Schizosaccharomyces pombe: one gene and its partners. The gene in region 1 interacts genetically with each later gene. Each region holds a gene or a part of one and is shown on either strand. Other genes may lie near its edges.

Region 1 (6,458 bases):
CATGGAGGTTCGAAGATGGTGCAAAAATATTCAGAAGTGCACCGTTTTGGATTTGTTTGATTTCACAAATTGCTGTTAGTGCTGGTTACTTGTTGTTTTTTCGCCGAGAAAATTTAAGTCGGCCTTAAATATGAAGAGTTTTAAATGGGTCTCTTGATATATAATAATGTTTGTTAATTATTTATTAGCCATTTACAGAAATGTAAAATTAATGAATGAATTATGATATAAAAGTTAATACTTTGGCAGAATTCAAAAGCATGGTTATAAGCAACATAAAGCTTTAAATTTAAATCAATCGAAATCTCAATTTCATATACTAATGTTATAGAATTTCTTTATTTAATTATATTCTTTTAACTAATTGTATGTGTATAGGAAACTTTGAGAGGGGTGTACAATTATTTGTGGGAAAAAATTATTAATCATTTGAAAACGGTAAACCCCATAGAAATTCCCGATGCAATCTTTTAACGGAGACAATTAGATATTGCTGCAAAGTAAGGAGAATATCTCTAGCTGTATAGTAAAATGATTCATAATAAAATAAAATAAATTTTATCGTTATATAATCCATATATAATTTTTTATGCTTTATATTGTCTTATACAAGTTTCTTAGCGCTGGGCAAATTGATCGGAGAATATAAAAAAGGGAACTACTTGATTATGGCGTTTTGATACAAACTAGATCCTTGTGCAAATTTCAAGTTCTATTAGAAAATTTTCGAATGGCATCTTGTAGGGACGCACTGTTTATAGTTTCGAATTTTAAATGTTTAAAACAATAGAAGGAGGTCAATAAATCAATAAATATTTAAATAAATAAATAATTAATAATAAAAAATATAATGAATTAATAAAGAAATATTGCATCTTAAATAAAAAAAATTATAATTGTTACGTTTTTTTTTTTGTTATATGGATATTCTTGGAGAAGCAGTGAAATTTTATTAGGATCTTCGTCGAAAACAGCGATCGATAAATCAGAACATGTCGATCCATGGAACGATAAATAATCTAGAGATGTTGGCTGACGGACAACGAGAGAAAGGTTCAGGACAAACAATGCAGATTTGGTTTATAGAAGATGATAACTAGAGAAGCTCAATATTGCTTTCGCTTCCTTCTCTCTTCTTTTTTCCCTTGTTCATATTATTATAGCTTTGCAAATCAATTTCAGCTTAGTATTTCGATCTGATAGAGCGACAATTATATAGTACCGCGAAAAACTTGCATACAAAGCTATACAAAAAATATTGAGATAAAACTGGCAGTACATACCAATGCGACTCAAAATTCTTTATCTTTTGTTTCAAAAAAAGAAAAAAATTCTGCTTTTCCAAGATTCCTACCCTGGAGTCCTTTCTCTAAAGCACTTAACAAAAAGCATATAAGTTACCGCCTCAAACAAGATTGTGATTAGACATCAGCACATACAATTTCTAGATTTACTCTATTCCCAATAATAAAACAGAGTGACATGTAAAAAAAATTCAATTTTTTAACAATTGTCTATTTGAAGTAATGTGCGACGAAGCTCCTGTGTACGAGGGTTACCTTTTCAATTTACACCAGGTTTGCGCAACTCGGCAAAATTTAAAATTCCGAAAACCATCGAATCCGAGCGCAAAATGCATTAGAGGAACTTCTTTAAAAATTTCTCATTCTCAGTGTTTCTAAGGTATGTGGTATGTGTAAATCTTTTTGTGCAAGCTCATTATGAACGTAACGCTTTTCTTTCAAGTTCTTTTTAAGTTGCTTCAAGTTGGAAAAAGAAATGATTATCGGATTTTCTGATAAGCGTTCGATCGTCATGACACTTTCCCCGTGATTTATTGCTCTAGACTTGAATCTCCTAAGTTGATTTTCATATTTGTTCCCAAAGTGGTGGGCTCATTATCAAATACTTTTTAAAATCAATATAAAATATTTTAATTATTCGTCAAAATTGAATGTCTTACTGTAGTTGACACTAAACTGTATTCAAGCAGTGTATTAAAACACTCCGTCCTCTGATAGTGCAAAAAAAAAAGATCATGGATTGTTCCATGTGGCGATCCCCTTTTGGCACCAGTTACGATACTACCATCGACTGGTCCTTTTTTTTTTTCTGAAATAATAATAAGATGGTTGTGACAGATCGACGTCAATCTGCAAATAAAATTTACCTATTTTTAGTAGATGCTGTCTACAATTTAGTCAAGTGATGTGTTGTCATGCAAAAAGGACATGCGACTTGTGTGTGTTGAGAGTATAGAATTTCAACGAATCTTAATTCATTGCTTCGTTCTATCCTTCAAATTTCTCTTTTTAATTTGAATGTTTGTAAGAATTTTCTTTCACTTGGGGTCGTTTTCTTTTTATTCAGTTTGCTATCTAGTGTGGTGGTTCGAGGTGCTTATTTACTTACCTATTTTCAAGCGTCGATCCTTAAACCTTGGTTATCCCGACTTTCAAGTGATATACGTGGTGATCTGTACAAATTTTCCTGTGCAAAATTACCATGTTACCTGTCGTTGCTATCCCTTGTACGTCGATTCGCACATCATTAGAATGACAGTCAAAAAAACAGTCCAAGGCTTTATATAAAGAAAGCAGATCCTTTCATTCCAGCCACGATCCGAGTATTTTGTTTGTATTCTGTTAGGTTTTGTTAGAGTACGTTATCAATCTTGTATTCTACGCTGCAAATCCTTTATCGATTGATTTGGCAGAAAATAAGGCAGTTTATAAGTTCAGTTTTACGATTATTTTGATTGATTTCGTTATCAAGTGAGATTGCTGATCACTCCTGCTTCAACTCTTACGTTGCTAATACTAAGTGAATACAATCAGCCAAAAAACCAAAAGGACGATCGCTTTTTTTTTTTGGTTGTAGATCTTATCACTCATTTTTTGTATTGGTTTTGTTTTTTTAAACCACTTTGGATTCCTAAGGTATTTTGCTATTGTTTTGTGGTAGAAAATATCGATTATTTGGAGATCTTTCTTTGCAACTTCAACCTATTCCCTTTTTGTCTTCCTCCTGTGCGCCTATCGCGTATTTTGCTTTTCCCTTAATTATTGTTCGTTCAATCAACTCCCCGCTTTCTCATTTGTTATTTTTTTTTTTAATTTTTTTTGGTTTTGGATTTCAGGTTTCGTTTGGTATTTCCTCGTTGCTTAATTAAACTATTATCCTCTCAGTTTATTGCTCCCTTTAACTCGTTCTGCTCAGCTCGGAGGTTGTTAAAAAATTTCTATTCCATTTTCACTCTCTTTAACGTTTTTCGTTGAAAACAAACTTTGCCCTGTTGAGTTATATCTTGTATCTTTCTCGTACATTAAAATGTCTTTAAACAATTTATCTAACTCATATAATCAATATCTTGCTCAAGAATCTCACCAAATATTGAGACATCTTTTTCTTAATAAGCAATATAGTCCATTGGTAAAAAGAGACGATGATAGCTCTGCTACTGTGACTTGTGGAGGTGATGCCAATGAATTCAACGAATATGGTCATCTGGGATATCGTATTGGTGCCATCTTTGTTATCTTGGCTACTTCATTAATTGGCATGAACTTACCTTTGGTCCTTTCTAAAATCACCAAAAACAGACCCAACGTTTATATTGAATATCTCTATCTATTCGCTCGTTATTTTGGTTCTGGTGTTATTTTGGCTACTGCTTTTATTCACTTGTTAGCCCCTGCTTGTAACAAGCTTTACGATCCTTGTCTTGACGACCTTTTCGGAGGTTACGATTGGGCTCCAGGTATTTGTCTTATTTCTTGTTGGTTTATTCTCTTGTTGGAGGTCCTTTTGAATCGCTATGTGGAATGGCGGTTCGGTATGGAAATCGGCGATCATCATGGTCCAACTCTTGGTGCCAAACAACACAGTCATAGTCACGAAGACGGTGCTCACGGTGTTCATGAACATCCAGTTTATGATATTGAAGAATGTGCCGATGGTGTTGAGCATGAATGTGTAAAGGATGACTTGGAAGAAGTAAAACTAGAACCTTATACGAATACTGATAGTACCGATTTGACTACTAAAGAAGAAGCTCGTAGTTTCTTACTAAAGCAACAACTTACTGCCTTTATAATTCTTGAATCTAGTATCATTTTGCATAGTGTTATTATCGGTCTTACAACTGCCGTCTCAGGTGAAGAATTTAAAACTTTATTTCCCGTCATTATTTTCCATCAGGCCTTTGAAGGTTGTGGTTTAGGTTCTCGTTTGGCGGGAATGGCCTGGGGCCCAAAAACTGCATGGGTACCTTGGGTGTTGGGCGTTATCTATTCGTTGGTTACGCCTATTGGTATGGCAGCTGGTTTAGGTGTTCGTGAGCATTGGGATCCTCTTGCTCATGGGTCTTATGCTGCCCAAGGTGTTTTGGATGCTATCTCATCTGGAATTTTGGTTTATGCTGGTTTAGTGGAATTACTTGCACACGATTTCTTATTTAGTCCTGAAAGAGAACGTAACTGGTATAAGCTTATTTACCTTTTGGCATGCTCGATGGCTGGTACTGGAGTTATGGCTTTGTTAGGTAAATGGGCTTGATTTGGTGGCTTTTTCGATGATCCGTGCATTTTATATTCTTCATTAAATCTGTTTTCTTCTTTTGAGTTTGAGTGTCAATATCGTTGACCAATTTCTAATTGTCCGTTTTCAGTTGTTTCTCTTTAGTATCGTACAATTAGATGCTTCATTGGTTGTATTGATATGTACCAATCAATCTTTCAATTTTAAATAATAATTGTGTCATTTTCACTGATTTACTATGCTTAAAAAAGTAGCTAATTTTGCATAGCCTATGAATGTAATTTGCTTCAATGTTCATTTACTAATTACACAGTCCTTGGTATTGTAAAATGTATTATAACTTGTTTTAATGTGTTTTCACCCAGTTTAGCAGATTTAAACATTAGGTGCGAAGAGAAAAAACAGTTTTTAACAATGGCACTTACAAAACTAAGAAGTCTCAAACGGATAATAAGTTAATGTCCAATAATCTGGCTCTCATACTCGATATATGTATATAATATATTTGCTTCTACATTCAACTTCGATAGATCGATCAGTCCTAAAATTAACAACTACCGTTTGTTGTGCTCGTGATATGATAGGTGCTGGGCTCCTCAAATTTTATATCCAAATCCGTTTCGAAAGCTCGCGTTTTGGAACCACTATGACACTCAGGTAAATCGCAAAGCGCTTGTAATTCATTCAGCCATCCAGCACGTTTACAAATCTCCACAATAACCCAATCACAATAAGGACTTAGAAAATTTACATCGAATTGGGTATGACGAACAGGAGTCCTCGAAATGTAAATCTGAGGAGTAGTAGGAGGAATAACACTGATGAGTTCTGAAACAGGAGCCACTTTTAAAGAAGTTCCAATACAAATTAATAAATCAGTCTCTTCAAGCTCACCACTCCCGACTTTGTTAAAGAAAGAATCCGGTAAGGCTTCCCCAAAAAATGTGATATCAGGTTTCATAATCCCAGGTTGAGCTAGATCATCTTCAGAAGATTCACTATCACCATCTGAAAAATAATGTTTCTCTTTTTTATTTTGACCGACTCTTCTTAATTTTAAGGGTGGTTTTCCGCATTCATTGCAGTAAGAAACTCTTTGATTTCTTATGTCTTCATATAACTCCGATCCATCCACCTTGTGCTTGCATTTGATACAAGTTGCGGTAGCAAAAGACCCTATATAATCAAATTAGACAAAATCACCAGTGCTCGAGATGCAAATCGGAAAATAAATACTTACCATGACATTGAATAATTTTGTTATCGGAGAGTCCAGTCTTTTTTTCCAAATTGTCTATATTTTGGGTAAACAATGTTGATAATTTATTCTTCTTTTCAAGCAATCTAATGAAGGCATGCGAGGGGGAATAATGATTCGTCTCCGGCAAAAGATCTCTAGCAAAAGTATAAAAAATTTCTGGATTTTCTCTAAACGTATGGATATCAAACATTTCAGAAGGTTCCGATAATCCATGGCGTGCCAAACGGGCATAAAAACCATTGTCTGAACGGAAATCTAAAATTCCCAAACTTGTACTTATGCCTGCCCCAACAAGGACGACAACATTTTTAGCTTTTTTCAATAAATTAACAACATCTTCAAAGGTATTAAAATGTGGAAGTTTGATTCTCCTAGCAACCTCACGTTTTAAAACTTCCTTCAGCAAAGGAAGTAAACTAATTAGCACGTTAGTATATCGATAGCAGATATTTTAAAAAATAAAAGATAAAAAGATAAGAAGGAAGTTAAAGAAAAGCATACTCTATGTCTTCAAACTCTTCAAGTGCACTAGGCTATTTACGTTAATAAATCTAGGTAAAGTCATAAGAAAACAAAACATGCAGTAGACCAAATTATTATTGCAATTTAACAAAAATAATCTGCTAATTTAATGTAATGCAAGTTATAAATCAGTAAG
Region 2 (6,814 bases), 3.3 Mb from region 1:
TGCGAGTAGCCGAAAATGTCCAAAAATAGCTCGACTGCTGGTATTGAAAAGGTTCCGGTACAGTCTAAGCCAGAGAAGTATCAATGAAGTGGGAACATGCTGTTTCGGTTATTGGAAAGGGCTTGAAAAGGGTTAGTAAAGGTAATAGTCGAACCAAGTGTTGATGAATAAAAAATTAATAAATAAATAAATAAAATAAGAAAAAAAAACTAATTAGATGAATAAAAAGAAGAAAATATAAATAATAAGAATTGAAGTGGAGTGAGAAAAAGTGACATTAAATTCAATAGCATCTTCTTTTTTTGTAATAGTTTGAAACATGAATTAAAATCGTATGTAGACAATTTCATTTTACTAGAGTTCAGATGGTTTGAAACACTGTACTTGAATATTCTGGGCTACAAGAAATCTATGGCTATGAGGTTCCGTATAGGATACGTATGTTTTATCATATTTGTTTTAAAAAAAGTAGTATGAATCAGATATATATTAAGTTTCGCAACTTTGATGGTTAGAAAAAGTAAAATATTTTGTCTAGACGTACGATAAAAAAAAAAATTCTTTTTTCTTGGGATATCAGATATGCTAATTTCTATTTTCAACACATCTGATATGTTTGCAAAAAGCATTTTCACACATCTGATATTGCATGGTAAAGTAGACAAGTTTTCTTATTTAGTTAGATGCATTGTTAGATTCGGGTATAAAGATATGTCTAATTTGTTTTGAGCTTTTTATTTTATTTATTATTTTATTTCATTCGGCGCTGCTTGCATCAGGTAGCAGAAAGTCTCGTGAGTTGAAAATGTCGTAAAGTGAGAGAGCTCAATAAAAAAAAAAAAAAAAGATGCAAAAAGAGATTATGAAAGAAACTTTATAGAAAAATTGTCCAGCTTAATAATTTAATTAGTATTTAGTTTAGTAATTAAAGTAATTCAACTTTGTATTTTTCAACCTCTTAATTCCCCTTGGTAATTTCCCTTTCTATTTCCCCCTTCATCAGATAAAAATAAAATACTAGAGTTTTCATTCACGCTTACATATCCATCCACATCTGCATCTCAAATTTCCATTTCTGCTAAAATATTCATTCAACGAAATTACTCATTCAGCTAAATCAACTCACATTATCGCTAATGTGACATTCTATTGAAATTCACCATCAATCTCGCCATTACTATTCCAACACAACAACATAGATCTTGCGACTTGGCTTGACTTGCTTGCCTAGTTTTGCCTTGCGGGATTATGCGTTTGGTTGTCTTGTGTCCTGTTGCCTTTTCATATCTTATCGTATGCCTTTTCCAACCTACTTTTTTTTTTCTTCCCTAAACTGAATGAAATCCCTGGGGAAAAAGTTACTTCATCTGTTAAACAACAACAATTGCGATACAATATCTGATCAGGTGATGATTTCTTGCAATATGAACAAGAATGTTTGCGATTAAATCATCAAAAATATTAGACTCTTTCTTTTCTTAAAGATTTACTTCTTTTTTTTTCATTTTTCATCCTTTTATTTCTTTTTCTTTTCTTTCACCACATTTCATTTCCTACCATACTCATATTCTTTCGCTTCATCATATACTAGGCTTGTTAAACTTGCTGATTTTCCATACTGACAAAAAGGATTTTCCTCCCATCCGCTTCCTCTTAGACAAAGTCCTTTCGTCAATTTCTTCTACTGCCCGCTTCCAGTTCCAAATCTGATTCTTTCTTGGAACGGAACATGTCACTTGGCAACTTTTTCATGATCCTTCCATCCTGGAAAACGGTCATCTTTGCTCGGACTCTCGTACATCCTTTTCCTTAACTCAAGCAATCCGTTCCAATCGCTACTTTTCTATTAACCCCGGAAAATCCGCATCCGTTCATTTGACTGAATTTCTCGTTTCCATCAAGGGATACTCACTTTTCTCTCGACTCACCGACATTTCAATTCAATAAAATGCAATACATTACGAAAAAGATGTCGATCTCAATACAAAATCATTTACTAGCGAACTTCTTACTCCAGCTAGCTCATATTCATGTTGATTAATGAAATGTCTTTATTTATTTCATTTCTTATTTACCTTACACCTTACACCTTTACCCCTATGGCATGGCTTAAAAACATAGCATGTTATTCATCTCGACTATTCTCTTTTTGACCTTGACTCTGTTCACTAAACATTACGTGGCAGCGCTTTTTTCTTTTTTCCTTCCCTGTAAGAAAAAAACCCTCAAAGTGGTGTCATTGAAATTTTGTCTACCTCTTCTCTCTTGGTCTCGTCGATTGTTTCCAAGGGTAGCATCTTTTGGCAGCATCCGTATTTACAACAAAACGTAAGTTTTTTTCCACACTCCTTATCAAAAATAGTCATTGAAAAAATACTATATAGAGCATGCATATCTACGCTTATCAGTTCAAGTTTATCTTGGATTTTGAGGGATTGCTTGTTAAGAGAAGTCTGGTGAATCCGAGTATCATATAGGAAAAAGCAATCAGATAAATATTGAGGTGTGGATAGCATTTAACCATATCGCCTGAACCGTCCCACCAACCCATATTTGCTTTTTTATTTTATTTTTTTTCATTTTCTTTGGAGCGACTGCTTTTTAAGTTTTATTTTTCTTTTTAATTTATATTTTTTCTCTTTAAAAGCTTTTGCTTTAGTTTGGTTGATTTTGGGTTGCTTGCTTTTGCTTTCGCTTTTACCTTTGCTTTTGCTTTGCTGTTTGTTTCACTTTTCTTTTTTAAACATTAGAGCCTTTCAACTTTTGGTTGTTGCTGCATTTTTTTATTACTACTCTCCTTTACCCCCCCATAAATTGTTAATTCTTCTTTTGTGTTTTTTTCAAAAGTCTTTTCCTTCTAACTGTTCTTTTGTCTTTCAAAAGTTCTTACCTTTTTAACTGTTTCTTGTTATCCCTTCCATCTGTTCTTCTTTTATCTGTTTCATAAAAGTCTTTTTCTTTCTTTCTTCCTTCCTTTCCTATTTGTGTTTCATTATGACTGCCTCTATCACAGAAATCGACAGTATTTCTGAAGAGTCCAACGTCGAATCAGTCTCTCATCTCCAACATTCCCCTTCGTTTGAGAAAAAAGGCGCTGACTTTTCCATTTCTCTTAACGAAAAGAAAGACTTCGCTTCCCCCATTACTGAAGAAATCCCTTCCCCTGATGGAATTGCTACACCCGAACCCGAGACAAAAAAGAAGCTTTCTTTCGGCGCTCGCGTTTGGGATTTAATCTGTTCTCCAGGTAGACAACACGATGTTTGCGTTGCCGCCCCTACTCAACTTGTACGCTCATGCGATGACTATGCCAATAGTGCCTCCACTCTCGTCACCAATGATGATGGAACAAAGACAAAGGTCGATTCTGATGAGAAAAAACACAAGCATAAGAATGTGCGTGATTATATCAGATTTAAACATGTTGACATTGGTGGACGAATCTTCGATTTGATCACAAGATTGGCTGGCACAAGTTTTACTTTTATCCTTATGCTAATTATCCTTATCGTTTGGGCAATCGTAGGTGGTATTTATCGCGCTCCTGATAATTGGCAAATCGTTATGCAAGATGGCAGTTCTATTCAATGTTATGTTTCCGACACATTGCTTATGCGTCAACAGCAGAATCAACATATCCAAGTACTAACTATGATTTCCCAATTGCGTTCACGTCTTCTTACTACCAGTCGTCTATTGGGCCCTGTGTTAAATGACAAAACCAAAATTTCTTCCGTAAACGTTGCACTAATGAAAGACGATGTGGGTGATGCTGAAAAGTTACCTACTGAAAATTGGTTTGATTTTATTTGCAATTACGTTAGTTTTATGGTAGGCTCCATTATCTTCCTTGTCGTATACTGGATTGGAATCTTTATTTGGATTGGATTCGGTCGTATGCTAGGATGGTCCGATGAATGGCAGTTGTATATTAATACCGCTGTTGCCGTCGAGTTGACCTTTACCTCTGTTTTCCTTCAAAATGTTCGACACCGTCATATGAAGTATATTGATCGTTGTGTCACATCTATCTTCCGCATCGATTCAGTAATAGAAGAAGAGCTGCGCAGAATGATGGGTGATAAAGAACCAAATGAAGAAATAACCATTAAAATGGATAAGATCAATCTTGGTGAGAGATCCATTGATTATTATGCTGATTTAATCGGTTCTGGTGTTGGTGTGGTCGTTAGTACTTGCGTGTTTGTAGCTTGGATTGCCATCGGAAATGTTATGCATTGGGATTCAAATTGGTGGCTTATTATTGGTACTTATACCGGTCTTGTTGGTTTCTTAGATGGTTTCGTTTTGAGAAATGTCTATTTCCGCGAAAGTTCCAAAGAAGCCACAGAAATTCAAACGCTCATAGACGAGGATTACGCCCTTTATCAAAAGCTTGATTTACCACTTCCTCATGAACACATAACAAACTATAAAAGTACATTCGGAGGTTCGCTTAGTCAGTGGATCGGCTGGTTGTGTGCGTTGCCTATTTCCGTTCTTTTCTCCGTATTTGTGATTCTTGGTCTGATCATTGCAGCTGGATCCTTGAGATTCAATGAGACTGCTCAATTGTTTTGTAACACTCCGACTATGATTATTGAGGGTGCTCTTTTGATCGTTCTGATCGAGGCTCACAATATAGCCAACTTGAAGCGTCGTATCCAATTTCGACAAATTCATCTTCGTCGTTTGACAATCTTGAAAATGCTTGCCGGTGATAACTATTCAACCACCAGCACTGTTTAATTTTAATTGTTCCTTTTTTCTAAACAACAAGTTCCTACCCGTTGAAATGAAATATCATTGCCTGCTTGCTTTCATTTGAGCAAAAGCCAGCTGGGCTCATTATAATGCATCTTCGGTATTAAATATCTGGATTTTGGCTGAAGTGTTGCAACTTTGCTTAATCGTTCTCATCAAATGCTCTTGGATTGGTTGTTAATGATAATATTTATTAATGTTGTTTTATTTTTTACTTAGCTTCTGGCTTGAAGGTTATTATAGCCGTTGCTATCCACTGCGAGGTTTTTTTCCATAAATTCTTTGCTTCTTGGTTACGACTTTCAATTTAATTTTCATAGACGTGCGTCTGTTGATGATTAATTTCTTTGATTTTTGTTATCCATTTGTTAACCCCCTTTCATGACTTACTTAACAATTTCTTTAATGGGGAGCGGACTATTATCTCACAATAATTTTTTTTTGCGTCCATCTCCACCCTCTTAATGTCGAATAATTATCTTTCATTTATTTTTTTTTTGAAAATTTAATTCACTTTTTTTAAATTCAGTTTACATTTTAAATTGTCAAGTCCGTAAACGAATCAGTGCACTTTAATGTAGGATACCTTTTATAAGTTCAGCAGCTTTTATTGTAATCTACTATGTTTGCAAGATCGATTATAAATCATAAAATTTTAATAGTATGTCATCTCTTAAAACATACCTTTTTTTTTTCTTCTTTTTTACGAAAAAAAAAATTTGAAAATATTAAATTAATGGATACTATCGATGTTCCAATACAAACTGTTTGTCTGTTCGTTTTGGACATGCACGGAATCTACATTAGTTCATTAAGGGTTCAAAAATCTCTAGATACTGGTTTCTATCATACCGAACAATGTGGAAATGCTTACTGCAAATTTGTCTTCTAAACAATGAATCGTTGTCATGAGAATACTCGTTTATGACACAATTGCAGCGTGTTATTCGATTTTTTACTTGTTTTTGTGCACGGCATGTAGACCGTGTTCAGCATGTCTAGATCATGTAGTGTCAATTTTGATAGATCGGTTGACATTTCAATAAAAATATGGACATGACGGTATACAACACAATAGATCATTTTTTTATTTAGTGTTGATCAGTAATCTAGTGATATATTTATTTAGCTAGATCATAACCCTAATTTTTTCTATATTTTCATTACCCTTTCGGTTTTTTATGAAATTATGATGGTTTGATACATATTTGCAATTACAATATATACTGCTAATACTTAAATAAATCACGTTGCTCCCGTGGCCTAATGGCTAGGGCATTTGACTTCTAATCAAGGGATTGTGGGTTCGAGTCCCGCCGGGAGCTTTACGTTTTTTGTTTTTCGATCAGTTACTAATTGTTTGAATTTTCTTAATTTGAATGATGAACTTATTATAACAGATTTTAATAACTTGAAATCCTGAGGATGAAAATAAACATTAAATACTTTTCACCTAATAGTTGCCAAACGCATATGGGTGATAATAATCTAGTTATATCCATGCTATCCACGGCGGATTAATGACCGAAATTAAGTCTCACCCTTTTTCAAATTATTGCTAAAAGAAGCATGCTTTCCTTTGATCATCATAAGCATTGTTTACTCGTTGAACAAAAAAAAAACTAAAAAATATAAAAATCGATTCCAATACAAAATCAAAAATTTAATCGATGCATCAACCGGGAGTCGAACCCGGAGCTAATGCTTGGAAGGCATTGATGTTACCGCTACACCACTGATGCGTTACTGAGAGAGATAATTAAGTTGCAAAATTTATACCTTAAAAATTATTACAAATTAAGGAAATCGAGCAGAGGTCAGCAGCACACCAGTAGAAATTATAAATTTTGTTATTTTTAATAAAAACATAGTTAAACTTGACAAAAAGATATATACATTTTCCTTAAACTGATAACATTACAACACCTTTTAGCACAACGTCAATTATAGCTTTAATAGCTTCTTAAACTCGCTTGCTAATCTTGGCGATATTGTTGCTAGTTAAATTAATTTTTATCCTTTACTCATTTAAAAACCAACATTTTTATAT
Region 3 (6,479 bases), on another chromosome or scaffold:
TCGCCAGCATTGGCAACGCTTTGGGTTTTCTCCTCCACAGGGTATGCACGATACCAGGGTCCCTTCACGAATTCAAGTACGTCAACTTTAAGAAACTCCGTTCTACATAGAGGACATGTATTTGCAACTCTGCACCATGATTCCAAGCAGTGGTTGTGAAAATAATGTCCACAAGGAATTTTCGCAATTCGAAGACCATCCAAGGTCGACGAAATCGAAGCGGGAACACTACTGGAATCCCATTGATCTAAGGGACAATTTGGTAAATTACTAAGACAGATGATACACTCTTCAGAGCTATCAGAATCTGCCGGCTTTGGATCTTCTTCAGCGTTCATTAATGTGGGGGCCGGAACCACAACGGGGCATTTGGTGGTGGGGGCGTAAAGCAGTAGTTATACAACGAAGGTGATGGTAGAAGGAGAGAAGGAAAACTGGCTCTTTAAGGGGTTCAACATTTTGTTTAACGAGTTTACTAACGTTATTTTGAAGTTACGCAAACGAGAGAGATTTGTAAAGTATATTAACAATTTCCACTGTACTACATTATCATAATGAAAGTGATCGATCGACAGTATTGGGAGCAGAGTGGAAATGAATAGTTTAATAACAAGGAAGGAACAGTTTAAACGGTTAAAGAGTTTGAAAGTGAAAGAATAATTTTAGAAAAAGAATTATCACATATATTATAGGGAAGATATAGAAATGTGAACGAACGATACTTTATTATGGTAATGTTAATTTCATATTGAATGAAAAGAGAATGAAGAGGTGAAAGAAAAGGCGATTAATACATAACATATCGTGGCAAGGAAGAAGTATGGGTTTATGAGAAAATAAAGTACTAGACGATATGGAAATCAATATCGTTGAGATATATGAAAATCGTGCTGCGGAAAGAAAGAAAATTCGCAGAAAGACTTTTTGCTTTAAAGTACGGTCGTACGACGGTTCTTCTCTTGTTGAACCTGATAAGAGCGAAGGGCAAAGATGGAAAAGATGACAATAAGTGAGAGGAGCAAAATAATGAGACGCTTTTTGAAGGAACCCTTCTTCTGTCCATAAGTAGTACCTTTCAATTCCTCAGCAGGAATTTCCGGAGTTCCCTCATCGTCAATATCGGTAATTGTACGGCTCAAAATACTGGCAATTTCATGGGATTCACTTAAATCACCAGTATGAGCGCTGAAACTCATAAAGGTGGTAAGAGGTAATTCGACTTCATTAAGATCAAAACATTTAATAAAGCTAGAAGAACCTTGATAAGCAATTTCAAAACGTAGCTTTTTGGCATTTTTGTCATATTTTAGTTTACCCAAATTATAGTCATTTCCGCGAACGTTCAAAGCAGAACAGCTTGCAATCTCATTGGCTTTGCCATCGTTTTCATAATCATAAGGAGTATGTCCATCCCCCTTCATCACAATTACACGAGGGAATAAAGTTCCCGGACGATGGTTGTTGTACGTATCAATAAAAATGCCATAACCATTAAACTTGTCCGTAAATCCAAAAACCGGTCCAGGTTTGGCGCGCTCAGCAGCTAAAAAAAACGCAAGACCATCTCCAAAAAGGGAGGTTGATTCACTGTTAATACGAAATTGAAAAAGGACTTCAAAGCTGCTAGACGGTGTTGGTAAACGGGTGGAAATCCATCCCTGTTGGTTTTGGACGTCCTGGGTCAAGAAAATACCGTTCTTTCTATCAATAACAGTGCTACCACCATATTCCCACCATAAGTTTCTCATACCATGGTTGATGTAAGGAGCTTCCAAAGACAGACGCTCCAAGTGACTGGTTTCTGCCAATGCACCAAGAACAAACCCAAAGATTCCCAAAAGGAAAACATTCTTTACTGAGAAAAACATATTAAATACCGCCTTTTTTTAAAAGAACGCAGTCCACACTTCTGCTGCGTGTCGTTTGTAGTGGTCAAGTGAGTCAGTGTGCTTCCAATGCCAGAATTCCCAAGTAGGTCACGTGTCACCTGAAATAATAAACAATAGAGGCAGGCAGAGCTGAAATCAATTGTAAAAGCTGTAAAATCACAAAGAGTAGAGAGTAAAGACCTAGAAAATTTAGCATTAACTTCGTTTACTTCATTTCTAAGTCAAGTTTTGGAACATGCTTTGTTTGAATGAAAGACCTTTGAAACGCCCAATGTTTATTTGCTTTGTCGATGAAATAAAACAAATGGATTTTCATAGGACCAGGTCATAAATTTAGTTTTTATTTTCTTTTAGATGATAGTATTATACAACCCAAACTTGAAGCTTGCAAACCTTGACTTCCTTCAATCGGTACGATCGTGCTGAATGGTCACAACAGGTCCTTTCAGCAGAAATAGACAAGATTTTTAGAGAACAAGCTTAGATCGTGTGATGATTGAAAGATATTCTAATTGTCCAACTGCCAAGAAATACTTTCAAACTGAAATTCCAATTCATCGATATAACAAAGCAATCTCAGTAAAAATATGCTAAAGTGGTTAACGTCAATACTTTATTTCAATAAATTCGTTATATAGAATGTCGATCCCATCCGCAACGCTATTATTTTTAACGTACTGTTGAATGATTTTAGAATTTCATAAATGAGCTACTATAGCCATGCTCCAACCATACTCAAGTAATTTCCATATTTAAAGTCATGAATAATTCAAAAGGCTGGTAAGTAATCTGTTTTTTATGTTTTCTTTTTTTCTTTTAAGATCATTTGTTTTTCTTGTCTTGATTGTTGGAGATCTGATGAATTGGTAATAAATCGGAAAATGGATCTTCGTCACGGAAATCCATTCTTGATGTTCGGAATTTGCTTTATCGATTTGTTGAAATCTTGACTGTCAGATAAAAAATTCAAATTGAATTTAGTGGACGTACTTGTTGGTTATCTTTTCATGTTTGGCTATGGATGAAAATCGTATATCATGTCAAGGCTTTTGTTATACCGTTCTGCTTGCGATATTTGGAAATGGATTTATATCTTTGATTTTCAATTCAATATTCCATTGTCTTCATTTAGTGTATTCTGCTTGACAGTTATTAAAACCTCAAAAACAAATGCGGTTCTAAACATCAAGCTAATTTGTTGATGACTGAGATGAGCATACGCCTTTTTTTACATCTATCTAAAGAATTTTATGATTGCTGTGGTCTTTTTTTACTTACTTTTTTTTTACTAACTACTTGTCAACTTAGGATACTAAGCCTTTCTATTAATGCTTTTTGCGTATTTGGTGCTAGTGGAATATATCTCGATAAATTAGTCAACAAATGGTTTGGTTACGAAGTGCTTGATTTAGCAAACAGCGATAATGCCCTTGTAACAGGTCTCGCTACTAGCTCCGGTATTTTATTGTATAGCTCATGGGCTAGCGTGATGCAAGAATCCTTTCACTTCTTAGAGAAAATTTCTATGTTCGATACTTTTCTCGTGCGTGTATTTCAGTTTTGTGCTTTCTTTTTCGGCGGTATAGTGTTTTACATTTTTAATCACTTTCTTCACAAATGGCTTCACGAATCAAGCCAAACTGGTTTTTTGCATGATCATTTCTCCGTAAGTGATCCCTCGCCCTCCACCGCACAAAACCACCGTAGTCCTCCTGCATCTTGTAAGCGTTTATCGTCTTGTGAATCGAGTGGTTCCCCATCTAGCCGAGTTGTTGGATCTTTGCAAGGAAGTTATTGTCCAAGCGGTACTCATCTTCATGAAGGATCATTATTGTTGGAGGATAGCTCCGCTAGACATTCTTCTGATTCTGTTCATGAATATTTAGTAAAAAAACCCTCTAATTGCGATTGTGAATGTCATGCGCACTTCTCCAGTTTTCCAACGCACTCAGGAACTCCTGATGATATTGAGCATATTCATTCCGTTTATACTATGGGCATCCAGACCGCTTTGCTTATCTGTCTTCACAAGGTGCCTGAGGGCTTCATCACCTTCTTAGCCTCTACCGTTGATACGGGGTTTATGGTCCTTGTTGCAATGAGTATTCATAATATTGTTGAAGGTTTCACAATTGCGTATCCCCTTTATCTTGCATGGAAATCTCGTCCTAAAGCTTTCCTTACCGCCGCCACGCTTAGCAGTTGCAGTTTACCTCTTGGTTCTTTAATAGCCTTTCTTGTAATGGAGGCTGGAGGTATTGGTTCTTCGGATTTTCTTAATTTTCTCTATGGAATTATATTTGCTGGAACAGCGGGCATGATGCTAATTCTTTCTCTTCGGGTTATTCTTCCTGAAGCTTTAAGACACGATCATTCAGAAAATAAAAGGCACTCTTTCATTTGCTTTACAATTGGTATACTTTTTACCTTATTTTTGGAAATCTTTGATAGCCATTAGTGTTTCCTTCCCGCTTACTTTAAAAACGATAACAAAAACTTAATAGTATATTTGGCATATCATTGCCTTAGAAGCCCTTCTCCCTTTCATCGATGTTTTACTTCCCTTTCTTGAAGTAAATTTAATATACCGAACACAATTTTTATATATGGTTTTGTGTCTCTCTGCTGCCATGCTAATATACTATATTGGCAAAATTTGTTCGGTACTAATTCTTCTCAGTTCTTAAATTTATTGTTTTTTTATAATATTATTATTTGTGTTCCTTCTCTTTCATCCGCTTTATTTCAGTTTTTAGGTTTTGAGACATTTAATGGTCATACTTCCGGTTTATTAATTTAACACCTGCGATGTGTGGATACAAGGCTAAACTTTTTCAATCTTGTGTATTTTTTTTAATATCAATTTAAATATAAATGGCAATTCGTTACAGTTTGTATGCTCCTTCCCGTTTCGCAGATTTTTAATGAATTCTGTATCGATTTATTAAGTATCATACCTGATTGTTAATTTGATATTAAAAAAAAAACTGGCACTCTTAAAAAAGCGCTTTGAATATCACTATCGTAATTAATAATAATACGCTTGGATTTGGAGATTGATTATACGCAAGTGTTCCAGCTTAATCTTGATGCGCACACTTCTAATATATTCTGTTCATTCAATTCCTACAAGTTATTTAAGATCATGCTTATTTGGTGTTTATAAATAGCAATGTGTATCCAATTCAAAGAAGAATAATCAGTATTGCAATGCACAAGAAGCTTTTGAAATGTTGCTTTGAAGTATGTTTAGATAGATTTATTGTTTTGTTATAAGTAAACGCATATGGAAGTTCTGACACCGTTTATAATAAAAATAAGGCTTTATAGCTGATTTTTTAGACCATAAAATCGAAATTTTTTATAAATAGGTCCTCATACTTAGTAAACACTAGTGTAGCTAAGGACGGTTTTCCTTCACCTTTTTATAGTCTGCGTTCACTAGCGGTTGATAAGTTGGCTAATTCCTCAAATTCACACTATAAGTGAAAAGTAGAAATATCATAGGAGATTTTATTTGTAATCATTCTCTTTTTTAGCAACACATTTTTACTCAGGATATCATACATACTCTGCTAAAAACTTTCGTATTTTGATTTTCGTGGAAGCAATTACCATTAGGCTTACCGAAAAGGTTCTAATAGCTGGATAGAAAAAAATTATTGAACAAAGTTCATATAGATTTCTACGAGTAATCCTAAATGTCAGACTCTCAAGATAAGAATTATATTTCTTTCGAGAAGACCGAGATTGGGCAGATCGTTTCAGAGGCTCCGGCAGAGAAATACGTTTCTTTTCAAAAGAAATATTTCAACCGATTAACTATCATTGGAGATTCTATAACACAGAAGGGATTCACGCCTGGAGGATATTGTGCCGAATTAATGAACTTTTACCAAAGGCGTTTACGAGTCGATGTTTGGGGTTTCTCAGGATATACTTCAAGACATGTTTTAAGATATTTACCGGAAATTCCACTGGAAATTGACAGTACAAAATTGTTAATCGTCTTCTTAGGAACAAACGACTGTCAGTTAACTGAAACCGGATACATGTGCCCCGTAGATGAATTTAAAAACAATTTGTTAGCACTTACCAGACCATTTCCTCATTCTAAGATTATCATAGTATCTCCCGGTATATGTACAAAGGACATTTGTTTTAAACGTGAACAAGAGCCATATGTAATTGCTGCTTCTGAAACAGTGAACACCCTTAATAAATCTAAAGCTAATTCAGCAGGTCTTATCAATCTTTATGAAATTACGAAATCCTATCCCACGCCCGAGTTGCTATTCACGGATGGTCTTCACTTTTCGTCTTTGGGGTATAGTTTGTTATTCAACGAAATTGTTGCAACGATTTCAAAAGCTTGGCCCGAATTGCTACCGAACAATCTTCCTCTTCAATTTCCTCATTGGTCTGAAATTCTCTTTACTTAAATTTTTTCGGCTCATGAATAAATTATTGATTATTACACTCTCACATGCTTTTCGCTTATAATTATTTTTGCTAACTAGACATAAACTAAGAAGCATTCGCACGGTGATACCGAGGATCTATGCCGATTTTAAAATCATTCATGGAAAT

Evidence for each region.
Region 2: mutations in zrt1 (region 1) and fet4 impair growth when combined (synthetic growth defect), as found in Schizosaccharomyces pombe (one study listed by BioGRID).
Region 3: of zrt1 (region 1) and zip2, changing one enhances a phenotype caused by changing the other (phenotypic enhancement), as found in Schizosaccharomyces pombe (one study listed by BioGRID).

Annotation. Positions count from the first base shown.
Region 1 is NC_003423.3:3,604,560-3,611,017, forward strand, and holds zrt1 (plasma membrane ZIP zinc transmembrane transporter Zrt1), read left to right. Parts: upstream 1-2,617; 5' UTR 2,618-3,330; coding exon 3,331-4,557; 3' UTR 4,558-4,771; downstream 4,772-6,458. Other genes in the region: cell wall alpha-1,3-glucan synthase Mok13, read left to right, coding at 1-128; histone deacetylase, Sirtuin family, NAD-dependent Sir2, read right to left, coding at 5,087-5,715, 5,780-6,216, 6,302-6,333. UniProt on the Schizosaccharomyces pombe protein: High-affinity zinc transport protein. Regulates intracellular zinc levels.
Region 2 is NC_003423.3:325,927-332,740, reverse strand, and holds fet4 (iron/zinc ion transporter), read left to right. Parts: upstream 1-2,411; 5' UTR 2,412-2,994; coding exon 2,995-4,749; 3' UTR 4,750-5,317; downstream 5,318-6,814. UniProt on the Schizosaccharomyces pombe protein: Required for Fe(2+) ion low affinity uptake. Has a role in zinc uptake under conditions of zinc limitation.
Region 3 is NC_003421.2:2,129,112-2,135,590, forward strand, and holds zip2 (zinc transporter), read left to right. Parts: upstream 1-2,620; 5' UTR 2,621-2,649; coding exon 2,650-2,669; intron 2,670-3,197; coding exon 3,198-4,347; 3' UTR 4,348-5,098; downstream 5,099-6,479. Other genes in the region: ubiquitin-protein ligase E3 Asr1, read right to left, coding at 1-338; SPOM_SPCC126.08C (lectin family glycoprotein receptor), read right to left, coding at 930-1,868; isoamyl acetate hydrolytic enzyme Iah1, read left to right, coding at 5,591-6,331. UniProt on the Schizosaccharomyces pombe protein: Probable zinc transporter that may mediate zinc remobilization from the endoplasmic reticulum under zinc limitation.